Linked DNA regions of Mus musculus: regions 1, 2 and 3 are each reported to be linked to region 4. The links are microRNA targets in miRTarBase. Many come from high-throughput screens and were not tested one by one. Region 4 holds a microRNA gene; each other region holds the end of a gene's coding sequence.

Region 1 (7,122 bases), not on the chromosome of region 4:
TATCTTCTGCTACTCTTGCCCCTACCTGACACCAGACTTCATCTCTCTTTTAATCCTTACTTTTTGTGATGTCTGACTTTGTTTAGTTTTTCATTTTGGTTGCAGTGCTGGGAGTGGAATCCAGGGCCTGTGCATAGCACCCTGGCTCCTGCGCTGCCCGCTGCCTCCCAACCTTGTGATATCTCTTCTGTAGGGTTAATTCCCTTAATTGGCCCAAAGGTGAGCCCAGCAGAGTGCTTGCTGACAACTTGCACCCCTTGTGCATCGTTTAATCGGCCCTTGATTGAAGTGAATGATGCTAAACATCTAGTTACAGCCTGTAATCCCAACACTTGTGGAGTAGAGGCGAGAAAATCAGAAATTAAGGTCATCCTTGGCTACATATCAAGTTTGAACTAACCTAGGCAATGTGAGACTGTCGCAGAAACAAACAACAAATCTTCCTTAGAATTTAGCATCTAACTTTAGGTATCTGAGTAGTCATTTCTTGCTCTAACCTGGTTGTGTTGATTCCACAGTGTCTCACGCAGGAGCGTCAATGTCCTCTGCTTCATCAGACACTGGAATGAGCCCTTCTTCATCGTCTCCCCCCCAAAATGTACTTGCTGTAGAGTGCAGGTGATGAACAGTTCTCCACCCCACAGCAGTTTGCTGCCATGGACATAAATCCCCAAACCCTGAAATACAACCACAGAAAGCACTCAGCCGGCTAAGTATATCCTTCCTGTATAGTTTCCAGGATTGTATCTAGACCCTCCTCTCTCCTTTTTTTATTGTTGCAGAAAATAAGCTTATTAATAATTGAAGGTTAGGCAGCCTGCCATATTGGTCATAATTTTTCCTCTGTATTTTCTTTCTTTCTTTCTTTTTTTTTTTGTGTGTGTGTGTGTGATAGAGAAAAAAAAGGGCACTTAGCAAAATGGAATTTGTATAATAAAGCTTTCAAGTGTTCTAGAAATCATAGACAAGCGCACACAACAGACAGGAGAGCATTATCTGGTTAGCAGTTACTGCTGCACTTTCACTGAGATGCATTGAACACTTGGTGAGTAGGGGGTTGATTTTGTTTTATTCTTGTATTATTATAATTATTATAATAATTATTATTAATGTTGATTTTTTATTCATTTCAATTTTGTGGAAGCACTTGCTATGTAGAACTGCCAAAGTATATGTGCAGCAGTGTGCCCAGGTTTAAAAGTGTAAATGGGACAAAATAAATTGTGAAAGGAAGTGTAGTTGACTGAAAACTGCAGTTGTAATAAGTCTTCCACTTTTTATAGGACTTTTGAGCACACAATTATGCAAATATTTTAATGTTTATTAATGTTTACAGTGGAATTGTGAATAAGTTTTCAGTGGACTATCTTATCCCTTGACAAAAATATTTTGTCTTTTTTCTATGTAATTTCAGAGTTTTTATTTTGTTACAAAAATACAAAAATGAAATATATAACAACAATGAAGTTATTTAACAAGATTTCTAAAGCTGAAAATTTTGTGTAAAATAAGGTATTATCTTGCAACTTGTTAAATATATTTATTCAGACATTGGATGGTTGTATTTTTATGTATTTTTTAAAATATTAATAAAATTGAAAAAAAGACAATTCTAGGTTAATTCACTCTTTGGATGGCAGTAGTGGTCAGCTGCCCCTTTTGCAGGGGGCTGTGTCTGCAGCCGCGGGTGCTGCAGGGCGTCTGTCTCAACCTTCCCAACCGAGCAGCTGAGAGTGGGCATCTGGGTCACTCAAGTCTGTCCTTGTTTAGAAACTTTGGCAGTCCTCGTATTTAAACCACTTTGAGGATCACATTTTTGGTTGCCCTTAAGATGCTTTGTCACAGTTTTTGTGTTCGCTGTACTGCCGAATAAATTTTATATCTCCCAAAGTCAAGATGCAACAGTCACGTAAAGCCACTATGTATTCTTTGTCTGTGAATTGTTACACAGACTGATACATTTGTAAATAATTCTTCCAAAATCATGTATTTAAAGCAGTTTTGCATATACATTATGTTAAAAAAAAGGTGATTTTTTTAAAAAGCATTTTTAAACTCATGTTTGTACATTAAAGGGGTTGTTTTGAAGCCTCCTTTTCTGTGTTTATATGCTGTAGTGTGGTAGCCCGGGGGGTTTTGACCCTGAGGGCGGACAGAGGCACAGCACATTGCTACAGCAGAGCATTACCGAAATTATATTTCTCCACGTCATCTTGCCACATTGTGAACCTGGGATTCAGACTTCTTCCATTTTCTCAGAGAATTAAAACAAAAAAGTACTCTTGTAATATGAACTTTCCTGTCTTTTCTTTGCAAACAGAAGTATCTCAATGTCAAATAAAAAGGAGCCCAGTGGGCGTGTCTTAAACATAGGCTATACAGTTTTAGTTTTCTTTTTTTTTTTTTTTAGATTTATTTATTTATTATATGTAAGTACACTGTAGCTGTCCTCAGACACTCCAGAAGAGGGAGTCAGATCTCATTACGGATGGTTGTGAACCACCATGTGGTTGCTGGGATTTGAACTCCTGAGCTTCGGAAGAGCAGTCGGGTGCTCTTACCCACTGAGCCATCTCACCAGCCCCCTAGTTTTCTTTTAAGTGACTATTTTTTCCAAATGCCAGTAACTTATAGTTGGAAAATTAGGTTCTACAAAACTAGGCATTTCAGTATGTCTTAGTCAGGGTTTCTATTCCTGCACAAACATAATGACTAAGAAACAAGTTGGGGAGGAAAGGGTTTATTCAGCTTACACTTCCATACTGCTGTTCATCACCAAGGGAAGTCACGACTGGAACTCAAGCAGGTCAGGAAGCAGGAGCTGATGCAGAGGCCATGGAGGGGTGTTCTTTACTGGCTTGCTATGTATGTTCAAACTTCTCTTCATAAGACTTAACCAGAGAACAAAGTCTCTGCTGGGCTTTTTTGAAACTTCCTTTTTCAACGCAATTAATCTGAGTCTCTTCACCTTAGTCTCAGGCAGACTTTTCAGACAAGGGCAAAAAGTAGCCACATTCTTCACCAAAATACCACAAAAACAGTCTTTATGCCACATACTGAAATTCTTCTCCTTTGAAATCTCTTGGGCCAGGTCAACACAGTTCAAATTACTCCCAGCAACAAAGTCTTCCATATTCCTACTAGGATGACCCATTAAGCCCCATTTAAAGCATTCTACTGAGTTCCAAATCCAAAGTCCAAAAATCCACATTCTTTCAAATAAAAGCATGGTCAGGCCTATCACAGCAATACCCCACTCCCAGTACCAACTTCATGAAGACTTGGAACTCTCAGCTGCTCCTGCACCATGCCTGCCTGGATGCTGCCCTGCTCCCACTTTGATGGTAATGGACTGAACCTTTGAATCTGTAAGCCAGCCCCAATTAAATGTTGTTTTTTTATAAGACTTGCCTTGGTCATGATGTCTGTTCACAGCAGTAAAACCCTAACTAAGACACAATACATTCTTCAATTTTCAAAATACTTCTAGTACTTAATTATAAAAATGAAAAATTTGTCACCCAAAGCTAGGAAGCAATATTAGCTATGTTAGTGATCTTTTTCAGTAGCAATTTGGTAAATCTGAGATAACTTACTAGTTTGGATGTACCTACAGAAGACAAAATTATATATTCACTCACCACAGATATAGATACTATCTATACCATTTTATTAGGACACTAGGAAAAAATGTGAAATTGAGTGTTGACTAAGCATTACAGTTCAAATGTTGGGTTTATTTTGAGTTTACCTAAACTTCGAGCAGATTATTACATATTGCATATGACAAAGTAAAAGTATAAAAGATACTATATAAAAAAGGAATGTACTATCTATACAGTCAAGGTATTCAAAAATTATATAGCTTTCTGTGTTGGTATTCCTTTATGTGCTTTTACTGTTTATTCTTTTTATCAAATTTCCAGTCTTTCATTTAGAAAGAGAGCAAGCACATTTTAAAAGACTATTACTTATGACATCTATAAAATTGACTTAAGTCTGGAAAGCTATATGAATTTGCTTCTGTACTTTTTCTTGTAGGTCTAATTTAGCATACCTATCAAACATTCAGTGTTATATATAACATCATGCAAAAACTCTTAGCAGAACTGATTCATTAGCAGTTTATGGAATATCTTCTATGTATCAGACATTATATTGTGATACCAAGACTCGGCCACTTGAGCCAGCAAGACAAAAAGGTTTCTGTCTTCATGGAATAAGATCAAGTATGGTTGATATGGGGCTGGCGAGATGGCTCAGTGGGTAAGAGCACTGACGGCTCTTCCTGAGTTCTTTTGCTGATTTTTGAGTTCAAATCCCAGCAACATGGTGGCTCACCACCACCCGGTAATGAGATCTGACGCCCTCTTCTGGTGTGTCTGAAGACACCTCAGTGTACTTATGTATAATAATAAATAAATCTTTGGGCCAGAGGGAGCAGGGACTGACAAGCGGAGTTGGCCAGAGTGAGCAGAGGTCCTAAATTCAATTCCCAAAAACTACATGAAGGCTCAAAACCATCTGTACAGCTACAGTGTACTCACATGCATAAAATAAATAAATAAATCTTTGAAAAAGAAAAAGGATGATAGACATGAAACAATTACCCCTTTTAATTAAAATAATTAAATTTTCTTTGGCTTCTTGAAGCAAGGTCCCGTGAAGAGGTCAGTCTGATTTTGAAATGATTGTGGTAGATGCTGACTTTGATTTCTGACTCTCTTGTTCCTACCTCTCAAATGCTAGGATGATAAGCATGCTCTATTGGACCTGGCTAAACCTATGTAATTCCTCCCTCCCTCTCTTTTTCTTTTTCTTTTTTTTTTCTTTAAAAACAAAAACAAAAACAAAAAAAACTCTGGGTTTTGAGATGGGGTCTCATTCTAGCCCAAGCTAGTCTAAAACTTACTACATAGCCCAGGATGGCCTCGTTCCTCAGCCCAGCCCAGCCCACCACATGCTAGGTCTGCAGGTACCATAAGTATATGAAGTCACAGTTGCCATGACATCCTAACATGGACAACAACTAGTCCTGAGACTGGAATAGTCTGGGAAGGCTTTGAAGAGAAAATATTGGTTAAATTGGGTCCCAGTGAGGCAGGCGAATAGGCCGAGGAGGTGGGAAAAGCGATGCTGATAACACGGTGTCCTAAGCAGGTGAGAGAGGAAGGAGGCATGAGGAGAGCTGTGTCAGGCTCTCACACACTGCTCCTGCCTTGTGCCTCTCACCTTGCTTCTTGCCCCATGTCCCCTCTGCCCTGCTCCTGATGCTTGAGCTGCCTTAGCCACTTTGCCAGGATGCATCTTTTGCTGACTTTTGAGCCCACACAACATCACCTCTTCCACATCTGATGGCTTTCCAGTCTCTTCTGTTTTACCTCACAGCTCACCCCGTGTGTGTGTGTGTGTGTGTGTGTGTGTGTGTGTGTGTGTGTGTAGTCACTTCCCTCAGTGTTCCTTGGTCATAGGTGTACCTCATGGTCCTAGCCCAACCTCTAAAACAGAGTTGTCAAAGTTACTAGTTAAGTCAAATCTAAGAAAATTTTTATACAACTACTTTTTAAAAAAAGTATTGAGGGGGCTGGTGAGATGGCTCAGCAGGTAAGAGCACCCGACTGCTCTTCCAAAGGTTCTGAGTTCAAATCAGTTCAAATCCCAGCAACCACATGGTGGCTCACAACCATCCTTAATGAGATCTGACTCCCTCTTCTGGTGTGTCTGAAGACAGCTACAGTGTACTTACATATAATAAATAAATAAATAAATAATTTTTTTTTGGTTTTTCGAGACGGTTTCTCTGTATAGCCCTGGCTGTCCTGGAACTCACTTTGTAGACCAGGCTGGCCTCGAACTCAGAAATCTGCCTGCCTCTGCCTCCCGAGTGCTGGGATTAAAGGCGTGCGCCACCACGTCTGGCTTAATAAAAATCTTTAAAAAAAAAAAAAGTATTGATCTTTATATAAAAAACCAGACATGTAAGATCTTCAGGGCTTTTTTTTTTTAACATGATAGTGTTGAGATATCAACTCCGTAGTATGAATGAAGCTAGACTTGCGTCATGACCTAATTGCCAATTAAAATGCCCCCACTGGTGAGTTGCTTTCCCATCTCCTTAGTTGTCCTCCCCACGCCCCACCCCCGTCATTTTCATGCAGCTGCGTAACAAGGCTTCCTCCACTCCAGGAGGACAGCATGGAATTCCCGTGTCAGGGTTGATCGGCTCGGGATGAAGTTCCCACTGGTAAGAAATTTCCAACAGGTTGGGCAGTGGTAGCGCACACCTTTAATCCCAGCACTCGGGAGGCAGAGGTAGGGGGATTTCTGACTTCGAGGCTAGCCTGGTCTACAGAGTGAGTTCCAGGACAGCCAGGGCTATACAGAGAAACCCTGTCTCAGAAAAAAAAAGAAAAAGAAATTCCCAACAGATCCATGCTTCGTGCTTTAGCACAGTACAGTTTGTTCTGGTGTTTAACTCCCAAGATGGGGTCTTCTGTGTCGTTCCAGGCTGGCCTTCTGAGCCTGGGGACTCATGCATGTCCTTCGCCTCAGCTTTTTTTTTTTTCTTCAAATTCTAATAATATTTTTGATGATGACAAGCACAAGATACTTCTCACCCACAGAGAGCCACTATGCATCTTTTAAAACCAAATTAAGAACAGCATCTATAATTTTGATATTTGCAGTTAACAGAATTATGAAGCGATGTTCAGTTTGTACTCTGTATCATGCAAAATTCATTTAGAAAAGCTCTGTTGTGAAGCTTAAGGACATTTGTGTATATAATAAATGGCCGTAGGTATAAGTAGTTGGCTTTCTTCTTAAATTACATCCAACAAGATAATCTAAGATTCTTATCTGCTAAGAGTTGCCAGAGAAGGGCTGGAGAGATGGCTCAGCAGTTAAGAGCACCAACTGCTCTTCCGAAGGTCCTGAGTTCAAATCCCAGCAACCACATGATGGCTCACAACCATCTGTGATGAGATCTGATGCCCTCTTCTGGGGTGTCTGAGACAGCTACAGTGTACTTTCATATAATAAATAAATAAATCTAAAAAGAGGCTGCTGGAATGTCAGCAGGTATAGGTGCTTGTCACTATGCCTGATGTCCTGAGTCCAATG
Region 2 (7,122 bases), not on the chromosome of region 4:
GGGACGTCTTCCTCCTAATTACCACTTGTTCCTCTCCATTCCTGCCACCACTGCTGTAACTAAGTCTTCAAACAGACTGATCTAAATTAAATACCAGGCTCGGAGCAATCTGGCCACAGTTATCTATTCTTGCCCTACCTTTAACTTCCTTCACTTTTGATGCTTCGATATTGATGTAAATGTTAGATTCCCCACCCTCCCCTCTGCTTACCTCCAACTGGTTATCCTATATAATGCAATCCCTATGTGCTTCTCTGACTGACCGTCATCTCCCAAAAGGCATAATAACAGCCAACTATTCTACCATATTTTTCACACTTAGGAGCTGTAATACTGATTTGCTTCTCTGAGTGCCCATAGCAGTCTCAATAGCCACCCACAATTACCATCTCCATTTTACCACTGAGGAAGCTGAGTACAGACTGCTTGATTTGCCTAAGGTCGAGGAGCCAGGATTCAGAACTAAGTCTATATTCTGGAACACTTTGCAATATTGGATCCAGACTACGTTATCACATTGTCTTGATAAATTTACCTGTCATATGATCGGTTAACCCAGTTAATTTCTCCCCTAAATAAACATGGCAAGTAGACCCTGGGCCACTAACAGTCAGGATAAAGTTGCTTTTTGTCCCAGGCCTTTTAAACTAGGTCCTTTCCACACAGGCCTCCTGCTAATATTTGTTCATTTCATAGTGTTATGGAGCCAACCCAGGGCCTCACACAGGCTAGCAAGCCCAATACCACTACATCCCTGTAGCCTCTGGGCCTGGTTCTAGAACAAAGAGTTTCTAACATAACCAACAATTAGACACCTGTGGGTCCCCAGACTTCTAATCATTTGCTTTAACCAAACCCAAACACCAGGGCTGAAAGTTAGGGATTGTGGGGGAAAGCTAATGACCAGACTAGGCAGCCTGCTTGGGACAGTAGCCAGAACACTTTCTACTTTCGTCCTCTTGAGTAACAGGACAATGTGTTTTGGACAAAGGAAATGCATTTCAGCTTAGTCCATGAGTGGGTCTGTGGAACCATTGAAATGGATTGTATTGCAACTAAACTGGTTTAGATTTCTGTTGCTTTTTCCTGCTTGCAAAGACAAGGGAAACCTACCCAACTGGCTCCTTCCAGAGACCAAAGTCATTCACCAGCATCTAGTACATCTTATCTACAGCAGGTGTGGACCTTCTCTTGGCTAACGATAGTGATATGGATAATGGGAACTAGGTAACCCTTACTCTTCCTTCCATTCTAATGCAGACTAAATTAAAGGTTGCACACTGAATGAACTCAAAACAGACTTGTATTAGACTCTGAGTGTTTTGTACCAAGGTGAATACATTTTGATTATTTGTTTGTCTTGTTTAAAAACAAAGCAAAAACAAACAAAACAGGGTCTTACTCTGTAGCCCAGGCTGGCTTAGAATTCACTCTGTAGACTATGCTATCCTCAAATTCATGGCAACGTTCTTGCTTTAGTCTCCCCAGTGTTGGAACTGTAGGTGTGAATAGCCATCCTTAGAGCAACATGAATTTCTTTAAAACGAGTGTGGGTGCACAAATGTCAGGGGTCAGAGGACAACTCTGTGGCATCGATTCTTTCCTTCCACCTTCACAGGATCTCCAGGGATGGACTCGGGTCATCAGGCTCCCTCGTCTACTGAGACGTCTGGAGAGCTTGCCGTTTGTTGTTGCTTACATTTTATTTATTTTACTTTTCACTTAGATGTATGTGTATGCATGAGTGAGTGATGGAGCCCACCAAAGCCAGGGATGTTGGCTCTCCCTCCCCCATAGCAGGAGTGGTAGGCAGTTATAAGCCACTCATCATGGATTCTAGGAACTGAATTTGGGTCCTCTGGAGGAATGGCAGGTGCTAACAGCTGAGCTACCTCTCCAGCCTGGAGTTTGTATTTAATAAAGGGCCATGGTCTTCTACCCTTGGAGACATCTTTGAGGTTAATATTCCCTTCTAAGGTCTGGCTCTCTTACGACACTTTCATAATTGTCATCTGTGTTCATTCATTCATCTATTTGCACTCAGTCAACAACCCTGAGAGACACGGTTGTGATCAAGATACAAAAGATCATTGTTCTCATGGGACGAGACATTTATTATTTTAAGTGAAAGAAAACCAAGATTGGATGTCGCAGCTAGCGAGAAATGAATGCTATGAGATCCAATCAGGAAAACGTCATTCAGGGAGTGTGCCCAGAAGACACCCTAGATAGAGTGGCCAGGGAAGGTGTCTAGAAGGAGACTTGCTTTGAGCTGGGACCTGGATGTCTTTGCCAGTTTGGGCAAAGAGGCCCAGGTAGAGGCTTATCAGCACAATACAAACAAACAAACAAACAAACACCCTCTTCAAGGAATGAGTACTAGATGTGTGCAGAATGCAAGGGAGTCCCATGCCCTGTGTGTTTATGGGGACTTGAGGGCACCAGAAGAATCAAGGGTCAACTTCTTAATGTTAACAGAAAGCCAGCACGATTTAAAGCATGAGCACTGTTCAGCATTCAGATGTCACTCTATCCAGATGCCACTCTATCCAGATGCCACTCTATCCAGATGCCACTCTATCCAGATGCCACTCTATCCAGATGCCACTCTATCCCTTGCCCTCCGAGGGACTGCTTCAGAGGAAACGTGTGCACAGTTTAAAGGTTGCTTTTGCTTTTGTTTCTTCTTTTACTTCAGACACATTGAAACTTGGGATCATTTGCTTAAGGTAACCATCTTAGCGTTTTTACTGTGCCTGAGACTAATTAAACAGAACATGATTGGTTTAAATAGAGCACAAAGTACTCCTCTCTAGTTTTGATAATCGCATGAGCTCTAGGGGTATGCAAAGGTGTTGGGAGCCTGTTATCCACTGTTCTGCAAAGATGAGTATTTTTTCTTCTAGTATCTGAAATTAATTTCAGTCATTGCACAGTCAGTCATTCGCTTTGCTGAAATGGCAGATGGAACCCAGGGGAGGCAATGAAGGAATTCCAGGAATGAAGGACAGAAGTGGCCTGTGTGTCTGCAGCCAGAGGTAAAAGATGTAACATTCCTATTGCCTAACATCGGAAAGGGGGACTGGAACAGAAACTACAGAACATACACAGACCAGTTTCTGATCGTAGAAAGAGTTTGGAACTTATTCATTCACCCACTGAGCAAAATGTTTGTTAATCCTGTACTATAGCTCTGAACTGGGTCTTAGAGTCCATTGGCGGGTCAGGCTTGACATGGTCCCTAAGGGAAATGGTCCCTGGTCTTTAGCCCTTTCTGTTGTATGGTCAGGACTTGTATCAATGTTAGTGACGCTGAAGCCAGGCAGGTAATTGTTCCCCTGAAACTAGTTTGAGGCTTTGTCTTCTGAGAAGGGATGGAAGTGTCCCCAAAAGAAAGGTGACATTCCTAGTGCCAGTCTTCCTCAGGAATTTTTAAATCCAGAGTCCCTGGTAAGGGGGGATTTGGAAGGAGTCCTTTGGCCAGACAGGGAAGATACTCTAGACCACGGAAGTAGCTGGCAGGGAGCTCAGAAGGTGTTAGTCCTTCGGGGGAATCCCAGGAACTTGGAGAAACCTTTCAGAGATTCTGTCTTCCTAGAGTTTCAGTGTTTGCCTGTGGATGGACCATGGCCTGGGCTGTGGTGACCTGGAGAAAGGCTTTGTGTCAGACCTGTCAAAGAAAAGGGGATGCTCTTCTTCCACAGCTAGTTTACAACTGCCAGGGCCATTAGGGAGGCCCCCGGGAGTGGGGGGAGGGGCAAGCTGCTTTCCTTGCTGTTCTTTCCAATCTGGAACATTCCTCTCAGCTCATTACCACCACACATTTAAAAGAGCTCACCGAGTCCTTGTAAATGTTACATTAATTCTAAAGGTTTTTGGGTTTTGGTTTTTTTTTGTTTTTTTTTTACATTTCATTTAATTTATATAGGATCTCACAGTGTAGCCCAGAACTCAAGCCTCTCTCCTCAGCTCTGGGATTATTGGTGTACCAACAAGGCCTCTCCATAACTCAGGACTGGCCAAAGCAGTGTGTGCAAGTGGAATGTGCTGTAAAGAACGTTCTAGAGAGACTTGGGTAAATTGCTTGGAAGTGTCAATCACTGTGGTAGGAGCAGGTAGATCATAGGTTAACAGCTCACGTGTAATGGAACTGTCGTTTGAAATTGAAACACAGCTCGACAGAGTACGAGGCCCACTGTGACCACAGCGTGATTGTCATTACCACTAATGACCTGAAGGCTCCCCTTCCACCCAGCATGCGTGGAAACAGTCTATGGTTTTTAGGTACCAGAGAGCAAGGGTAGGGAGTGGCTCATTTTTCTTTCCTTTTGGTTTGCATGTAAGCAAGAGAGAGAGCAGCAGTCATTACCTGAGGTGTCCCAGGCAAAGGTCATGTTCTTCTTTGAGATGATAAACTTTCTAAGCTAAGCTCACCCGAAGTCTTCTGACCCTTCCCTACTGAGCTATTATGTAACTTCTTATTTACAGACTGGTTGATCAGCCATTATTTATGCTGCTCAAGATAATTTAAATGTCCATTCCTTTTCCCCTACTGTACTGTGAATTACACCCAAGTGTTAAAGTAGCTTCGGAAGTTGGGATTTGTTTTTCATGGTGGCACAGGATAATAGATAGCCTGCTCTCTTTGGAGAATAAAAAGGGTTGACTAAATGAACATATGTTTGAGTAAGGAACCGAATGACGGTGCATACCTGTAAAGCCAGCACTTGGGAGATATAAACAGAAAGATCAGGAATACAGGGCCAGCCTCAGCTACATAGCAAGTTTGAGGTCAGACTAGGCTAAGTTAGACCCATCTTAAAAGTAAACAAACAATTGAAAATTTGTTTGCGTGCATGTGCGCGCACTCGTGTGTGTGTGTGTGTGTGTGTGTGTGTGTGTGTGTGTGTGTTTTAACCAAGGGAAACCTTTTAAGGCTAAGGTGTGGAAGGTAGTTCAGGAGGGCTAGGAAGACGGATGAGCAGTTAAAAGCAGTTGTTAGACTTGCAGAGAGCCCAGATTTAGATTCCTGGTGCTTGCTTGGGTAGCTGCCATTGTCTCAGAACTCCAGTCCCACAGGATCCCTTGCCCTCTTCTGGCCTCTATGGACACTGCATATGCACCTGGTGCATAGACACACATGCCAGCGAAACACCCTTACACAGAAAATAGAAATAAATACATCTTTAAAGGGGGAGGGGGACTGGCAAGATTGGCTGCTTGGTGGGTCTAGGTGCCTGCTAACCTGAGTTCAATTCCCAAAGGTCGTGTTCTTGAGAAAAAGTCTGGAAGTTGTCCCATGACCTCAAGTGCATGACCTCAAGTACATGAATGCCCTCCCCACATAAATAAATACATATTTTAGTTATATATATATATGTGTGTGTATATATATATATATATATATATATATATACTTTTTTTTTAAAGAGGCAGTTCAGCCTAATAATGGACAGGAGGGGGAAGTGGCGATCTGGTTTGCAGTGTGGAAGGTCGCTTATTTCAACTCTTCTTCAGTTCACAAAACAACAACAACAAAAAAGTTTGTGTAGAGCTAGGCTCTGTTCAAAGGATTCCTTTCCCATGAAAATCACTAAGGCGAAGATAAGCATGCAGAAAAGCACATCCTTGCACAAGCTGTTACAGGCAGCCTTCAGCCCCAAGGCAGGCAATGCAATATGAACACACATCTCTGTAAAATACCCTGAACTAGCGTGTCCTCTGAGTGATAAGGGGACAGAGGGCGTGTTCCCCTCCAGGACCCACCCATCTTGACAAACTGGTCTCCTCAGAGGCCTTCCTGAAACCATACAAAACTGAGAATAAAGAGAGCAAGAAGGTGGTCGCATTCAACTTAAATGCTTTTATTGACAATGTCTTGGAACAATAAGCAAACAATGCTTAAAATTTTTCATTCAAATTCACTTTCCACATGTCGAAAGACCTCAGGGTAGAAAAAAATAAAATAAAAATATAAATATCTGAGAATCCATCTTAATAAATAAATTGAAAACACAATAAAAACGTTTTCATGGAAAACTGTTAATGTCAGAACATTCAGACCACCTCGACAATGCATGATCAGTAACATGACAATGAACATTGACGCTGAAGGACTACAGTACATGGATATAGCTATTGATTTCTATCTACTGGAAAATAAAGTCCTATCTTTTCTTAGTTTAATATTGGTCGTTTCTAATTGGAACACGCTATTGCCAGGAACACAGTAGGTATTGTTAAAATCAGCTGCACTAGATACAATCCAGCACCAGGTTAATTCCAATAATGAACCCAACAGATTAGTTAGTGCTATGAGAAAACTAAGGAGAAAGAGAAAAGAGACACAGACCAGGCCTTGACTCACATGCTCTACTAACTACCAGCTCTCAGGTGTCACTAGGAACAACACACTCCATGCGGTTTTTTGTTTTGTTTTGTTTTGTTTTTGCTACATCTCTGGAAGAGGTGAGGACTGGAGGCCAGATGTGGATGCTTGCAAGTCCTTGAGGCCCACAGCCTGGTGTGTTTCACGAACAGGTAAGGTCCTCCCTAGGTCGACGGGAACCTTCGAGGGAAGACGTGTTTCTCCTCTCTGTAATGCACCAGCTCGGGCAGTGGCACGTCTGGATGCCGGCTGCCTTGCCTTCTCTGACTGCTCACAGGGCCAGCAGCGTGGGTGAGCTCAGGGAGTCGGAGGAGGGCTCGTTGCTGCTGCTGCCCTTTCGGTGGGCAGCGGCACAGCTTGGGAAGGAGTCAGCTTCAGGGTAGGTGAAGACAAAGGAAGACGTGTAAGTAGTGCAGCCCGGAGTACAGGTGACCACGGGAGTACACAGGGGCTCCAGCTCTGTGACCATGGGCCCCATCCCCAAGGAATTGCTGTGCAGAGGCTCCCAGTCTGCTGCATAGAAGGAACCGGACAGGTCCACATCTGGCACAGAGCGGGAGGTCTCTGAGCCACTGGGCCTAGATGATGCCGGAAACAAGAAGTCATCAAAGGGTTCTGCCTTCAGCTCCACGTTGCTGATGCTCTTGACTGGCTCCAAGGATGGCTTGGGCTCAGGGTCGTTGAGAAGGGGCAGGGTGAAGGCCTCCTCAGACTCTGGGGTGGAAGCCTCAGGC
Region 3 (7,110 bases), not on the chromosome of region 4:
CATCAAGGTCACCAACAGCTATGGGACCAGAGCTCATACTAAGGAAACAGCACCTGCCTTGGGGTGGAGAAGAACAGCTGTGCTTCGGGAACAGGGGTCCAAGTGAAGGGCAGTGGGTGCCACCCAACCCCAGCTTCATCTGAGTTGGGGGCCTTTGCACACTTCTTGCCACCAGCTGTGGCATGGCCTTGATAGAGACAAAACGACATGGTTCCTGCCCCTGGAACAGGGCCAGCAGGCGTGGGCCTCCACGAGAGTTGACGGCTGCTGTGGGAGTAAGGCTTGTTTGTATAATAATGAACATATTTTCATGTTCCTCCAAGGAATGTCCTCCCTGTTAACGTTAATGATTTCATGATAATCAGAGACACCGTGAGTCCAGGATAGGAAGGTGTGACTAATGTCTCAGCAAAATGCTAAACACTGGGATCTTCAGGACAAGAACTCTAAAGACATGTTCAGAAATGTATAATTTCTCAGCTATGCAAAAATATAAAATGCAGTATGAATTGTATAAGGAGCTTCACAGATGTGAAGGAGCAGAGGCGGCTGCACTGTGAGCCGGCTTGCCAGAGAGACGCAAAGACAGGCAGATACAAATGCAGGCAGATTCTTGAGTTCAAGGTCAGCCTGGGTCAGAGCAAATTTAGGTCCAAGAGTGGTGGGAGATGGTACTCTCAGGACAAGGTCCCACCCAGCTATGTTTACAGAGGCAGGCAGATCTCTGAATTCTTCTGCAATGTTAATAAAAGAGGGGGAAAAATGGACTTGCTATCCCTTTCCTGTGAGTCAAGGGGCTAAGGTCCTGGAGTGTGGATTCCCCGGGGTGGTCAAGAGGGAACCTGGAATAAATGACTGAATTGATATGTAAATAAAAAGCTAGGCTTTTGGGCTGCATGAGATGAGCTGGCAAAAAGCAATAATGGTTCTTAGAATTTTTCTCTACCAAGGAGAGCTGAGCTGTCTGAAGATCTCTGGAGAGGGAACATAGCTCTTCTAGGTTTTTTTTTTCTAACAGGATTCCTGATTTTAGTCTGGAAAGTCATGGAGAGCAAACTCAGCTTTTTAGAATTTTTTTCTAATGGGATTTCTGACCACTAAGAGTTACTTAGAGAGCCGACGTCGCTCTTTTACAATGTTTTCCAGAAGCTATTCAGAGAAGGTTGTCTGAAGAGCGCGCACGGCTCTTTGAGATTTTTTTTTTTCTTTCTGATTTTGATTGGAAAATCCAAGAATTAATTTTAGAAATTTTCAAACAGGGTTTCTGATTTGGTTAGAATATCCAAGAGGTTTTTTTTTATATATATATAGCAGCTTTTCTGACTTTGGTCAGAAAACCCACGAGCTATCCAGAGAGCTTGTAGGAAGTATGTTTACTAGCAGAGAGAATGGTCTCTCTCAGCTAGCAGAAAATTAGCTGTCTCAACCACAGAGCCAGCTTGGACCCACGATTAGACTTCAAGTTATTTGTTTGTACTGCTCCCAGACACCCCTTCTCTCAGAACCCAAACCAAGCTGAGGCTGGCCCTCAGCAGCCACCCCTACTCTTACCTGCAAAGCATCCACATGATGGGTTTCCTTCTGTTTGGGACATAGAGAAGGCTGGGTCCCAAGTTTTTCTTGCCCAAGATCTTTTTCAGTGGAGGACAGACTCAGCCATCTGATGACCAAGAAAGCTCGGGATGGCTCTCAGGATCCCATTCTCACCTCCATAGTCCAGTACACACCTAAGTAGTGGGCCTTCCTTCACTTTTCTAACATGCCTCTATCTGGTAATGCTGAACAATGCAAACGTGACAGACACATGAGCCTCTGATTTCCTTCCAGAAATCCCAGGCCTTGGTTTGGGGAGAATGTTTACTAACTAAAACCTTTTGAGAAATTGCTAGTCCCAGGTTTAGTGTGTGTGTGTGTGTGTGTGTGTGTGTGTGTGTGTGTGTCTGCCTGTCTGTCTGTCTGTGAGGGCAGTATAAGTGACATACAAGGCCTCACTAGCCTCAAACTTGGAGAAATCCTCCCGCCTCTGCCTTCCTAGTGTCGAGCCGGGTTAGAGGACTGAGCCGCTGTGCCCTCAGAGACAGTCCTATTTAATTAGTTAGTTAGCCTTCCTCATTCTTTACTCCTCGCTCATCATGGAAGGAAGGTTTTCCTTTTAATGACCAGGTTCCCAAAGCAGAAGAACATCTCACGTGCAACTTTAGAAATTATTTATTCCAAACAGTTACAAATTTCACTTTAAAGCAAACAAGAGGGCAAAAAGGCATTAAAAAAGCACTGACTTAGGTCTTAGGTATCAGCTCACAGGGGACAGAGCGTAAAAACCTTAAAAATATTGTCTCAAAGATAAAAACATGTAGCATTGAGGTATCCTGTTTTTAACGGATATGATCTCTTGCCAAAGTCTCTCTGTCCATTCCAGCTTGCTACACACTGTACCAGTCCTTTCCCTGGAAACAAGATCTCCATCTGAGCATATGTTCACAAACCTGACAGTGTTCCTTAAGGCGCATTAAGGTTGCCATAGAAACTTCCTGGAACTGGCACCCAACTACACTAGCAGCAGAGGCTGGAGAGACCTTTGGCAGACCCTCCCCAGCGCCAGCCCCAGGACCCTCCCCAGCTGGCCTGCCCCCTCCCACTTTGGCAGACCCTCCCCAGCTGGCCTGCCCCCTCCCACTTTGGCAGACCCTCCCCAGCGCCTGTCCCTCCCACTTTGGCAGACCCTCCCCAGCTGGCCTGCCCCCTCCCATTTTGGCAGACCCTCCCCAGCTGGCCTGCCCCCTCCCACTTTGGCAGACCCTCCCCAGCGCCTGCCCCTCCCACTTTGGCAGACCCTCCCCAGCTGGCCTGCCCCCTCCCACTTTGGCAGACCCTCCCCAGCTGGCCTGCCCCCTCCCACTTTGGCAGACCCTCCCCAGCTGGCCTGCCCCCTCCCACTTTGGCAGACCCTCCCCAGCTGGCCTGCCCCCTCCCACTTTGGCAGACCCTCCCCAGCTGGCCTGCCCCCTCCCACTTTGGCAGACCCTCCCCAGCGCCTGCCCCTCCCACCTCACCTCACTGTAGGCTCTTGGGATGATGCTGCCTCTACAAAGGAAAAGGTTTCTCACCACCTCTACCTGAAGCTGAGTATGGGAGTCTTTCCCAACTAGGTCAGCCATAAAGAACTACTAGGAAACTCTAGCTCGGAGCCCAGGCAACCAGGCAAACCAGGCATTCCTTAAACCGGCACACCATAACTAAGCCTGGCCCACCCTGTTGGGCTCTGCTCCACGCTGGCTCCAAGCCAATGCCGGCAGTAAAGCCCACACCGGGGTTCCCTTTCTCCCAAGACACCAAGGACACAGGAAAGATTCAGTGTGAGCTTTCAGCCAGGTGGGAAGGCAAGGCTCATGGAGAGAAAGGACTGTCGGCCAAATGTCGTGGGTGTGGCCAAGGCTTCTCCCTTGAAATAGTTTAAAGCTATTTCACTAATGCCAGAAGGACCAAACATCTAAGAACCTTAGAACTAGAACCAGTATGTGTTCCCTCTTTCTACCATGCAACAAAGATCATGTTTAAATCATCTCTGTCTAGACCAGGCATTTGGCTGCCTGGTCGCTGAATGCTGGTGTTAAGTGGTACTGTTGACAAGGCAGCCTGTGGGCTGCAGAAACTCCAGTAAGAATGACCCGAGGATGGAACACCTATTCAGCTTGCACAGAATTGAGACCAGAAGCAGCTGAGGGCATACACCTGTGTGAAGTGAACGAAACCGGACGAAACAGACTTTGTTGACTTAGCTTATAAAAAGTCAAAAGGAAAAAGCATCCTTTTGATACGGGTTGGGGGGAGGCTATCCCCTTACAACAATAGTGAAAACAACTTGGAGATCAAAGCCATTTAACTCACAGAGATAATGAGCTATCTGGATTTCAGTCTTCCGTCTGCCTGCTCTGCCTGGCTTGGGTAACAGCAGAGCCCTGTGAGGGACTGAAGAACTGTGAGTGAGCACAGTCGCCGATCCCCTGAAGATCACGATCTGTAACATTTTTAATAAATTTCCCTTTCACAGCAGTTTTGCTACCCTTGAGTCCCAAAAACTTAGCAAAGGAGGAAAGAAGGAAAAAAAAAAAAAACAAAACATGAATACTTGGCCTGATTTTCTGTCAACCTACAGAGCCTTTTCTAAGACAGCAACAGGACCTAAAATGTACAAAACCCACAAAAAAATAAAATAAAATAAAATAACTAATGCTTAGGTCAGTGGCCCCTAGAGCGGACAAGCAGAGGGCATGGGGTGACAGCTTCCGAGCTCTGCCCGTCTCGTCTCGTGGTGGTGGCAGAAAAGGCAAGTTACTGGCATAGTTCAGTAAGACGGCAGGTGTGGGGTGCTGTGGTTGCAGAAGTCACTTTAATCTAAGCACCACACTGTGGCTCTGTGGTCTCCTCGGTGACCACTAACATCACTGGATTCCTCAAAGCCCCAGGGGAAAGCATCTGAGGCCACTCAGTCAAACGTAAAGCAAGGAAGGCCAAGGTGGCAGTGAGGTGTAGCAGGAAGCAGACACCCTTCCTGCCTGCGCCTGGGAGTGTTCACAGGCTCATTCCCTGAAGCAGAGCATGGACAGGCTATTTTTATACTTTTTAAGACAAAAAAATCAAAATAAAAAATGAAACCAAAGGCTTTTCTGTTATAGGAAACAGCGGGTTGGTTTGGGTTTTTTTTGTTGTTGTTGTTTTGTTTTTTTGTTTTTTTTGGTTTTTGGTTTTGTTTTTTTTTGGGGGGGTGATTTGTTTTTTAGTTTAGTTTTGGTTTTTTTTTTTTGTTGCTTGTTTGTTTTTTTTTTCCCTCGATTTTCACTTGACTTGGTGTTTGGGCTACCGTTACTGCACTTGGTCCTCCAGGGTGGGCAGTGAGGGTTCATACAGTAGTGTGCAGTGAGCGGCCTCTTCCAGACTCTTGAGAGAAACAGGCAACAGTTCTCTAAAAACCAAAATGAAAGTGCATTCTTGCTAGTTAACGTTTTTTCTTTTTGCATGAATGTCGACTTTCCTAGTAGCTCCAGTCCAGTTGAAATCAGAATGGGCAAGGCTGGGGTAAAGTAGTTCTCTCCGCCCTGGAAGAGGCACCCCCTACCATCATCCCTCTCCTGGGAGAGTAGGGGGACAGGAAACGTGTTTTCCAGGCTGTACCTCCCGCAAGTACCATGAGGACGGTGGACACCCATCCGCTCTCTACTTCCACTCCGCTTTTCGCCTGAAGTCCTGAGATCGAAGAGGAAAATGAAGCCTCCGCAGCCAGCAGTGCCTGGGGTCATCATTCACATTTAAAAACTGCTTGTGAGAAATTGTCACTCGCGTAAACCATCAGGCCCTGAGATATTAGTCACCACCACCGGGCCCAGCTGCTTTCCAGATGTTGAGAAGGAAATCGGAACCAAGCTTCCACCCGGCCTCAGTGGCCTCGGAAAGAGAATGGCAAAGTGCTTGGACTTTAGGAGTTCGAGAGCTAAAAGGTGGCTTGGGGCAGTGAGGCAGAGCGAGGCAGCTGGGGCAGCCTTTGGAGCCCCTTTCTGAGGCCTCCTGAGGGTGCAGCTTGTGAGCCACTATCAGATGTGGAGCTGACGGGCATCTCTATTCAGTCATCACAAGCTGTCTTCACAATGGCCTGTGTTCCTCACAGCCCCTTCCTTCCTTCAGAGCCTATGCAGCACCAGCTGCACCTACTCAGAACCTGTGCAGAGCTCTTGTGGGTTAGTGAAGCTGCAGCCCCGCCCGCCCCACCCCACCCCAGGTGGATGGGACCCGCATGAGAAACTTGTGTGCTGATCTCGTGGTGCCCTGCCAGCTGCCAGGTACCATCCAGATGATTATCTGGGGAATAAGTAGTCTCTGTTGCTGTTGTCATAAGGGCTCTGTGCGTCCCTGACACCCAGGCAGCTGTGGTTTACGGTATTGTCAGACCCAGAGCTGTGTGGGGTGAGGAGAGGAACCAGAAGGAAGGTCGGCTTCAGTGGGCCCAAGGAATACGGTGGGGGTGGAGGAGAGGTCGTCTTGCTTTCCTTCTCAGCCTCTGACTTCCATTTCTGCTTGAGTCTTTATACAAACACAGAGAAACAAACAAACAGGCCTTAGACTCCTCCCAGGCCAAAGGCATGGTGAGAAACCCTATCTGCAGCAGCAGCAGCAGCCGCCTGCCTCAGTTGGTTAGGTGTGTCTAGGTTTGGCTTACAGAAATGCCGACTATCTGGCTCCCACATCATCCCCAGAGGTCCCACAACACCCTGAAGAGCTGGTGAGTTTCAAAACTACCTCAAGACCATATCTAACTTACAAAGGGAGAGAAATCTGAAGTGTTCCTTTATGCACTTCAAAAGTCACCTGACACATCCTCAATCTGCCCAGGGCCAGAGGCTGTCTGTTGGGCTCACATTATCAGGTCTCTATCCATTCACGTTTAAAAAAAAAAAAAAAAAAGCTGGGCGTGGTGGTGCACGCCTTTAGTCCCAGCATTTGGGAAGCAGAGGCAGGCGGATTTCTGAGTTCAAGGCCAGCCTGGTCTACAGAGTGAGTTCCAGGACAGCCAGGGCTACACAGAGAAACCCTGTCTCGAAAAACCAAAAAAAAAAGAAAAAAGAAAAAGGAGGTAGGTGGCAGAGATGGCTCAGCTGTTAAGAACACTGACTGCTCTTCTAGAGGTCCTGAGTTCAATTCCCAGCATCAATTCCCAGCATCCACATGGTGGCTCCCAACCATTTGTAATGGGATCTGATGTCCTCTTCTGGTGTGTCTGAAGACAGCTACAGCATACTCATATACATTAAATAAGTAAATATTTTTTAAAAAGAGGAGAGTATTCTTTCAGTGGGGAAGGAATATGGAACTCCGTCCAACAAAGGCTGTCAGGAGCAGATCACTCTCACAGCCTGCAATGGAGAGCAGAGAACAGGCTGTGTGGTCCCTAGTAGCACTCTATCCAGCCCTCTATATTCAGTACCTCAGTCTCCAGACACCTCCACCCACCCCACCCCAGCAGGGAGAGACTGCACCCTCTGACAGGGGCACCACTGGGCACGTGTTGACTCATCTGACAGGAAAGTCAGTGGTAAGCCGGAAGAGATAGGCATCGCC
Region 4 (7,122 bases):
GCCCTCGAGGCAAAGGATAAGTCTTTACACGAAGCACTATTGAGATACGTTTTAATGATGCTGTATAAAACAGAGGTTAAAGTGACAGAAAACAACCAAAGCTTGGTTAAAACCACTCAAACCGCTCCATCTGTGACTATTTTGTGTTGGATGTAAAATGACTGGAGATGCTCAGTCACTTTTGTCCAAGTCTTTCTTCATCCAATTAAAAGCTGTCTACCAAGACCTGGGTCCTTTCTCCTCCGCCTCTGTTCTGCACAATGACTAGCTAACTAACCGATTAAGTGCAAATTAACTGAGGACTTAAACCCCACCCCACCCCTCCTTCCTCATTGCACTGTAGGAACTTCCACCCTGAAGCCTGTCTCACCCTGGAGGAATTGGTTCTGATGGTCAGAGACTCCGGACTGAGAACAGAAGCCAGGCTAGAGCAGATGAAGAACTTTAGGAGCTATAAGAAAGGGCATGGTGTTCACAGTCATCTTCAACTTTCATCTTAGGTCAAAAGGCAACCAAAGCCTTGTTAACTATGACTCGTGCAGAGCTTCCCCGTGTCTTCATGTTTTACTCGGCTGCTTTAACCTTCGCTCCCTACTTCCCTGGTCTAGTCCAGAACATAGCTTTAGAAACGCAGGTTCAGGGTAAATTCTGGTGGGAAATCCAGATGATTTGTAAATGCAATGATATGCAATTGATTTTAGTAATCCACATAGGATTCAACTATGAATTCTATCTCTATTAGTATGTTTTTCAAGTTAATAGATGATAGAGATAGATAGATAGATAGATAGATAGATAGATAGATAGATAGATAGATAGATACATAGATAGATACATAGATAGATAGATACATAGATACATAGATACATAGATACATAGATACATAGATACATAGATAGATACATAGATACATAGATAGATACATAGATACAGATAGATAGATAGATAGATAGATAGATAGATAGATAGATAGATAGACAGACACATAGACACATAGATACATAGATTGTTAGATGATAAATTAGATAAACTCATCTGAATTAAACCATTTTAATTGTCCAAAATATGACCTTCTTTTCACCTAGTGGCTTTAAAACTAGAATTTGTGTTACTCTATCAATACACAATCATGCTTTTCCAAAGAAGTGGATATTCATTCACTTCAGAACCTCAAAGGAACAGTTTCCAAAAATTTGTATATGTCAAAGTGAATAGCTAGGGCTGTCCCACATGGTATTGGTGAAAAATACAACCACTGGCTTCCTATAAAGAAAATATTTCATCATGCAGTTTCTTTGATAACTCTCGAATGGTTGGTGCTAAGAATAAGCCAGACAAAAAAATAAGCACATAGATATATACACATGTATATACATATATATATAATTGTAGGAGGATCTAATTCATGATTTTCTTGCTTGTTTGCTTGTACGTATGTTTGTTTGAAATACAGTCTCTCCCTATATAAACCAGAGTAGCCTGGAACTCCCAGAAACCTTACTGCCTCTGCTTTTTGAGTGCTAAGATTAAGGGTGTGTGCCACCACACTTGGCCTACAACTCATGATTTTAACATAAAGTGAGACCCTCATAAAACAAATGGAGTCATTTGAGAGAAAAGGTGGGAATGAATGCAGATGTCTTTGATAACTCAATCAGAAACTTAAAACTGGTTACAGTGGCAAAGTTTGTTTGTATGTATGTATATGTGTGTGTATGTATGTATGTATGTATGTATGTATGTATGTATGTATGTATGTATATGTGTGTATGTATGTATGTATGTATGTATGTATGTATGTAGATATATGTGTGTATATGTATATGATGAAAGTTGAAGATGAGTATGAATATGATGCCCTTTCTTACAGCTCCAAAAGTTCATCTACCCTACTCTGTATGTGTGTGTCTGTGTGTGTGTGTTATATGTGTGAGATACATGTGTGTGTGTGTGTTACCACAAAAAAATTACTAAAAATAAAAAGATCCAGTATAGGACATATTCTTCTCTGAGTACCTTAGCTGATAACATTTTCCCTGGCAAATCAGCAAGACTAGACAGATTGTGACATTCTATGCCTCCCTTATACCTCAAAATATTATCCTGAAGAAAAGTCTAATTATATTCTCCTGGAATGTCCTTAGGTTTAGGCTATACCACAGAGAAATGGTGATATGCCACATAGTGAATGGGACCTGGACTTACGATTTGTCTGAACTAAATATAGTGCTTAAGGTTGGTCGAGATTTTTACCTAAGGTCAAAAGAGTTGATTGCAATAGCAATTCCTAACATTATATTTTATTATTTATTGAGACGGGGTCCAATATAGCCCAAGCTGACCCCAGAGGTGATAAGTAATTGGGAACAGCCCTGAGCTCATGATCCTCCTAAGTCCATCTCTCAAGTCCTGAGATCAAAGGCTGCACCAGTGTCCATGTATGTGGTACTTGGGAATCAAACCTAGGCTTTTCATGTAGATAGATGATAGATAGATAGATAGATAGATAGATAGATAGATAGATAGATAGATAGATAGATAGGTGTGTATGTGTGCACACATGTATGTATATATGTAATATACATATATATGTATATATGGCTATACATATATATGTATATATGGCTATATATATATAGCCAGATGTGGTGGTATATGGCTATAATTCCAGAATTTGGGAGACTGAAGTGTAAGGTCATGAGTTCAAGGCCAGCCTAGGTTATATAGGGCAACCTTGGCTACCTATACTAAATATATTCTTGGTAATACCTTTATTCAGATGGTATCTTTAAAGGATAGAAACAGAACTTATAGATAAGTTATTTACTTAAATTGGAATGGGGTTATGTAGGCACTCATGCACACATGCACAGTTGCATATATTCTCCCTAATGGGTCAATAATATGGCATGAAGTAGAACACTAGAATCTTAATAGATTTACTGAGGACTTACTGAGTTCAATGCACTATGAAGAGAAAAGGTATTATTACAGTCTTTCTTTTGGCTGAAATAAAATCCAAGATTGAAACTGTGTAATTCACAGACTTTCCTCATGAAACCAGCTCATCTGAGAAAACAGCAAAGTTTAAAAAAGAAATACTATCAGTAAGTATGATATATTTCCTTGGTTTGGAAATTTCCAAGCCACGATATTCTGCCCTGTCAAAATATATTCACTGGGGAATTTTTAACTTGATGCATTTCTTTTGAACTTAATCACATTTCTACATCTAGCTGGTTTCATTATTAAAGAAAAGAAAAGGTGGTTCCCCTCTGGTCCTAAAGGGAACCACAGACTTGAGTGATGCTTGAACTTCTAGGTTCGCGTACAGTAACACTGAAACCAGAAACTTGTGGGAGAAATGTCACTTTATCTGAGAGAGTAAAATCCAACTCTAACAGGAAACAGCAAATTCATCTTTTTTCTTTTTCTAAACCACTCTGCTGGAGACAAGTCCCTTGAGTCAGAGCTCTTTAAGGCGCACTTCCTTTACATGGGTCAAACTGAAGCCACCGGTTTGTGAGTCCCCAAAGGAATCACTGGAGGACAACAGGAGCATTTTCAGATACCTTTCAGGGCAGACCTGCCCTGGCTGTACCCCCTATCTTGAAGAAAAAGAAAAACGAATAAGGTGAAAATCGCAACTACTATTTATAGAATCAAAATGGGTTCATCCATTGAGTTTTAACTTTCAAAAATCATAAAGTACCATCCTAAATATCTGAGATTTCTTGAATTGCCTAGTGACCTGTGGGATGTACGTCAGAATATTACCCAGAACTGAAGTTGTGTCCTTTGAACTTCAGCATTGTAGAACTATGAACCGTGGCTGTGTTAAAAATGATACATGTATTCAAATATTTCCACAGAATTTAAAGTTTGATTTTATAATTAGTTTTTAAATTGCAAACCTTACAAAAATTTTCCAAAATTTACTTAGAAGCATTTCAGAGCTCTTTTCTTTCAAAGCTGAAGTCTACCTTGCCTTCAGATTCATAATCGTTCACTCTACTTTATAACTAACTGTGTGCGTACACACAACTATTTCTTTTTCTCTTTGCAGGTGCTGCAAACCAGGAAGGGGAAGTGTGTGGTTTAAGTTGCATATCCCTTATCCTCTGGCTGCTGGAGGCTTGCTGAAGGCTGTATGCTGTTAATGCTAATTGTGATAGGGGTTTTGGCCTCTGACTGACTCCTACCTGTTAGCATTAACAGGACACAAGGCCTGTTACTAGCACTCACATGGAACAAATGGCCACCGTGGGAGGATGACAAGTCCAAGAGTCACCCTGCTGGATGAACGTAGATGTCAGACTCTATCATTTAATGTGCTAGTCATAACCTGGTTACTAGGATAGTCCACTGTAAGTGTTACGATAAATGTCATTTAAAAGATAGATCAGCAGTATCCTAAACAACATCTCAACTTCAAGCCCACATGTTTATTTTTTATCTTGAATGGAAAGTGAAACTTGTATCATTTTTATTTCAAAATTATGTTCATAACCATCTTCAATGATTCAACCAGAATACAAAATGAATGCACTAAAAAGGACATTTCTATATTTCTGTAGTTAAAATTCAGGACGGCCATTCTCGACTGACATCTAGGATTGTCTGGAATACCTCTTGTAAGACTTGGAATTGGCATTTTTTCCACATTACAATGTATTAGTCAACTTTGATTTAAAATTTGTAACTCTTGTGTTTTAGTGTAAGGAAAAATTTAGGGTTAGTGTTAGAGTTTAGGGCTAGGTAAGGAAAAACTGAGTCAACACTGAATGATTTTTTTAAAATCTATGAGCCAGCTGTTGGTAGTTTACTCCTTTAATCCCAGCACTCGGGAGGCAGAGACAGGCAGATGGCTGAGTCGAAGGCCAACCTGGTCTACAGAGTGAGCTCCAGGACAGCCTTAGCTACACAGAAAAATGCCTTATCAAAAAATTAAGAAAATAAGATGAAGTATTAAAAAGTGACATGACAAATCATTCCTGAGGGCTACCTATATATTCCTCACACGGTATAAATATTTAATTTAATTAATATTTAATTTCAAATATTCACATTTGAAATGAAACCCAAATCTGGGTTCAAGCTTACTGCTTTAGCTGCACAGTAAAGCTGTGTAGTAAGGAGACCCACGTTTCCTACGCATTTCTTCATGAATGCGGATGAAACTTTACAAGGTTGGTGTGCAGCTCACTGGAGATGAACAACTCTTTGTAAGGTAATAAAATCCCACAGTGATGTCTTAAAGCCAATCCAAAACTCACCCCGTTGCCTGACATAGGTAATAATTTGATATACAGAAGTTTAATGTTTGAATTCCTATGCAATTTTTCTCCACAGTGATATCACTGACGAACACATAGACAGCTGGACTTGTTATATTTAATTTATACCTGTTCTTTTTTTTTTTTTTTAAAGACTTTTTATTTATGTATATATATGTATATATATATTTATGTATATATGTAAGTACACTGTAGCTGTCTTCAGACACACCAGAAGAGGGAGTCAGATCTTGTTACGGATGGTTGTGAGCCACCATGTGGTTGCTGGGATTTGAACTCTGGACCTTCGGAAGAGCAGTCGGGTGCTCTTACCCACTGAGCCATCTCACCAGCCCTAATTTATACCTGTTCTGATAGTTCTCCTGAATATCTTGTCATTGTCTTCCCTATAGCCAAATAAATGTCTTTGAGTCTTTAGTTGGCTTAGAATACTTTTTGTTTGTGATGACCCTTTCTTTTGCAAAGTACAGACTGTGATTTCAGAAGACACACAAAAAAGACAACAATGGAATAAGTCACAAGGACAGTGAGAGGAATGCCCCTGCCTGCCATGACACAGACAGGGCACGCCACCCCCACTGCCCCACTGCCTTCTGCCGAGTACGCTGCCGACATAAATTCCTCCTCTCAACCCTTGGATGGAGCTTCAGGAGTCCTTGTACCGAGTCTCAATTCTTCAAAATCCTTTTTGCTGCCTACAACCACAAAGTCACAGAAAGCTAGGAACCCGCTGCGTTCTCTACATTACCCTCCAGCAGTTCCAATCAAAAGCTCTGAAATCATAAAGCACTGTAACACCTACTGCATGCTTAGGCAAATCACTTGCTCCATGTCTGTTTCTCCATCAGTGTGTGTATCTCTGTGATGTAATTTTATTAAGGCTTAGATGAAATACCACAAGAGGGAACACACTTTCTACCAGCATTTAAGTGATGAATACATACAAACCTTGAAACATGTATAAGTCCATAATCTAAATCGACGCAGCAGGCGTCCCTGGAACACGCCACCTCCTCAGCTATCATCCCACCCTAACCACCCACACAACCCAGACGTGGCCAGCAGGCTGGGTCTTCCCGGATGCCCAACTCTACTAGCTGACCTCTTGGCATCACAGATGGATTATTCCTGACCAACATTTCCAGTCATTCCAAAAATTCTTGGAGTATGAGTTAAGGCTGGGTGTGTTTGGAGTGGAGAGTAAGTAATGAGGAAGTTTGTGTGTGTGTGTGTGTGTGTGTGTGTGTGTGTGTGTGTGTGTGTGTGAGTAAAGGAAGGGCAGCCCAATTTCGTGCACAGAAGACTAAAGGGAATGAAGCACTGAATTACATAGGATGACCTGGGCACAGACCAGCCCCTGAAGCCATTGGCTGAGAGTTAGAAAACAAGTTTTTCCTGGTCTTCATGTGGGACTTCTAACAGTGAGAGCAGGGGCTGCCTCTGACTGTTGCCTGCCTGTGGGACCCTTTCAGGCTGCCTAATGGGCTGCCTTGTCTAGCCTCAACGAGAGAAGATGTGCCTAGCCTTAACTGCAACTTTTTATGCTAGGGCTGGTTGATATCCATGGGAGGCCTCCCCTTTTCTGAAGAGAAACAGAGTGGATGAGGTGGGAGAAAGGACTGGGAGGAGAGGAAGTTCTAGTCGGGATGTATAAGTAATTAGAAAAAGATTTTTTGTAAAGAAACTAACTAGGAAATAATTAGAAAAGGAAACCCAGCTTTTCTTGCTCGCTCTCATCAGCTAAATAAACCTAGTAGCAGAGGTAGGACAGGAGAGAAAGCTGGGACAGACTGAGGCACACATAGAAACTGTGGCATAACAGTCA

The links. The annotated mature microRNA mmu-miR-155-5p reads UUAAUGCUAAUUGUGAUAGGGGU and lies in region 4 at 4,157-4,179, shown strand. An mRNA with a match to its seed (bases 2 to 7 or 8) in the 3' UTR can be bound and repressed. Matches are read on the target gene's strand: a 7mer-m8 pairs with bases 2 to 8, a 7mer-A1 pairs with bases 2 to 7 and ends in A, and an 8mer does both.
Region 1: the mRNA of Arid4a is a reported target of mmu-miR-155-5p. Seed matches in the 3' UTR shown: 7mer-m8 at 989-995 and 7mer-m8 at 2,181-2,187.
Region 2: miRTarBase lists Fos as a target of mmu-miR-155-5p. The part of its 3' UTR that is shown has no 7-base or 8-base seed match.
Region 3: the mRNA of Il6ra is a reported target of mmu-miR-155-5p. Seed matches in the 3' UTR shown: 7mer-m8 at 4,229-4,235.

The regions. Positions count from the first base shown.
Region 1 is chr12:71,096,983-71,104,104 of GRCm38, forward strand. It overlaps Arid4a (AT rich interactive domain 4A (RBP1-like)), which reads left to right. Exons shown (of 24, transcript NM_001081195.1): 24 at 519-2,369. The coding sequence ends at 622. Among named protein-coding and RNA genes, the nearest start is that of Tomm20l, 11 kb to the right of the region's middle.
Region 2 is chr12:85,475,996-85,483,117 of GRCm38, reverse strand. Fos (FBJ osteosarcoma oncogene) reads right to left here. Exons shown (of 4, transcript NM_010234.3): 4 at 5,844-7,122. The coding sequence ends at 6,660. Among named protein-coding and RNA genes, the nearest start is that of Fos, 5.7 kb to the right of the region's middle.
Region 3 is chr3:89,865,312-89,872,421 of GRCm38, forward strand. It overlaps Il6ra (interleukin 6 receptor, alpha), which reads right to left. Exons shown (of 10, transcript NM_001310676.1): 10 at 4,013-6,075. The coding sequence ends at 5,850. It overlaps Gm46811 (a long non-coding RNA gene), which reads left to right and starts at 6,794. Exons shown (of 3, transcript XR_001783918.2): 1 at 6,794-7,110.
Region 4 is chr16:84,709,987-84,717,108 of GRCm38, forward strand. It overlaps Mir155 (microRNA 155), which reads left to right and starts at 4,154; the gene lies at 4,154-4,218. It overlaps Mir155hg (Mir155 host gene (non-protein coding)), which reads left to right and starts at 3,037. Exons shown (of 2, transcript NR_132106.1): 1 at 3,037-3,107; 2 at 4,067-5,259.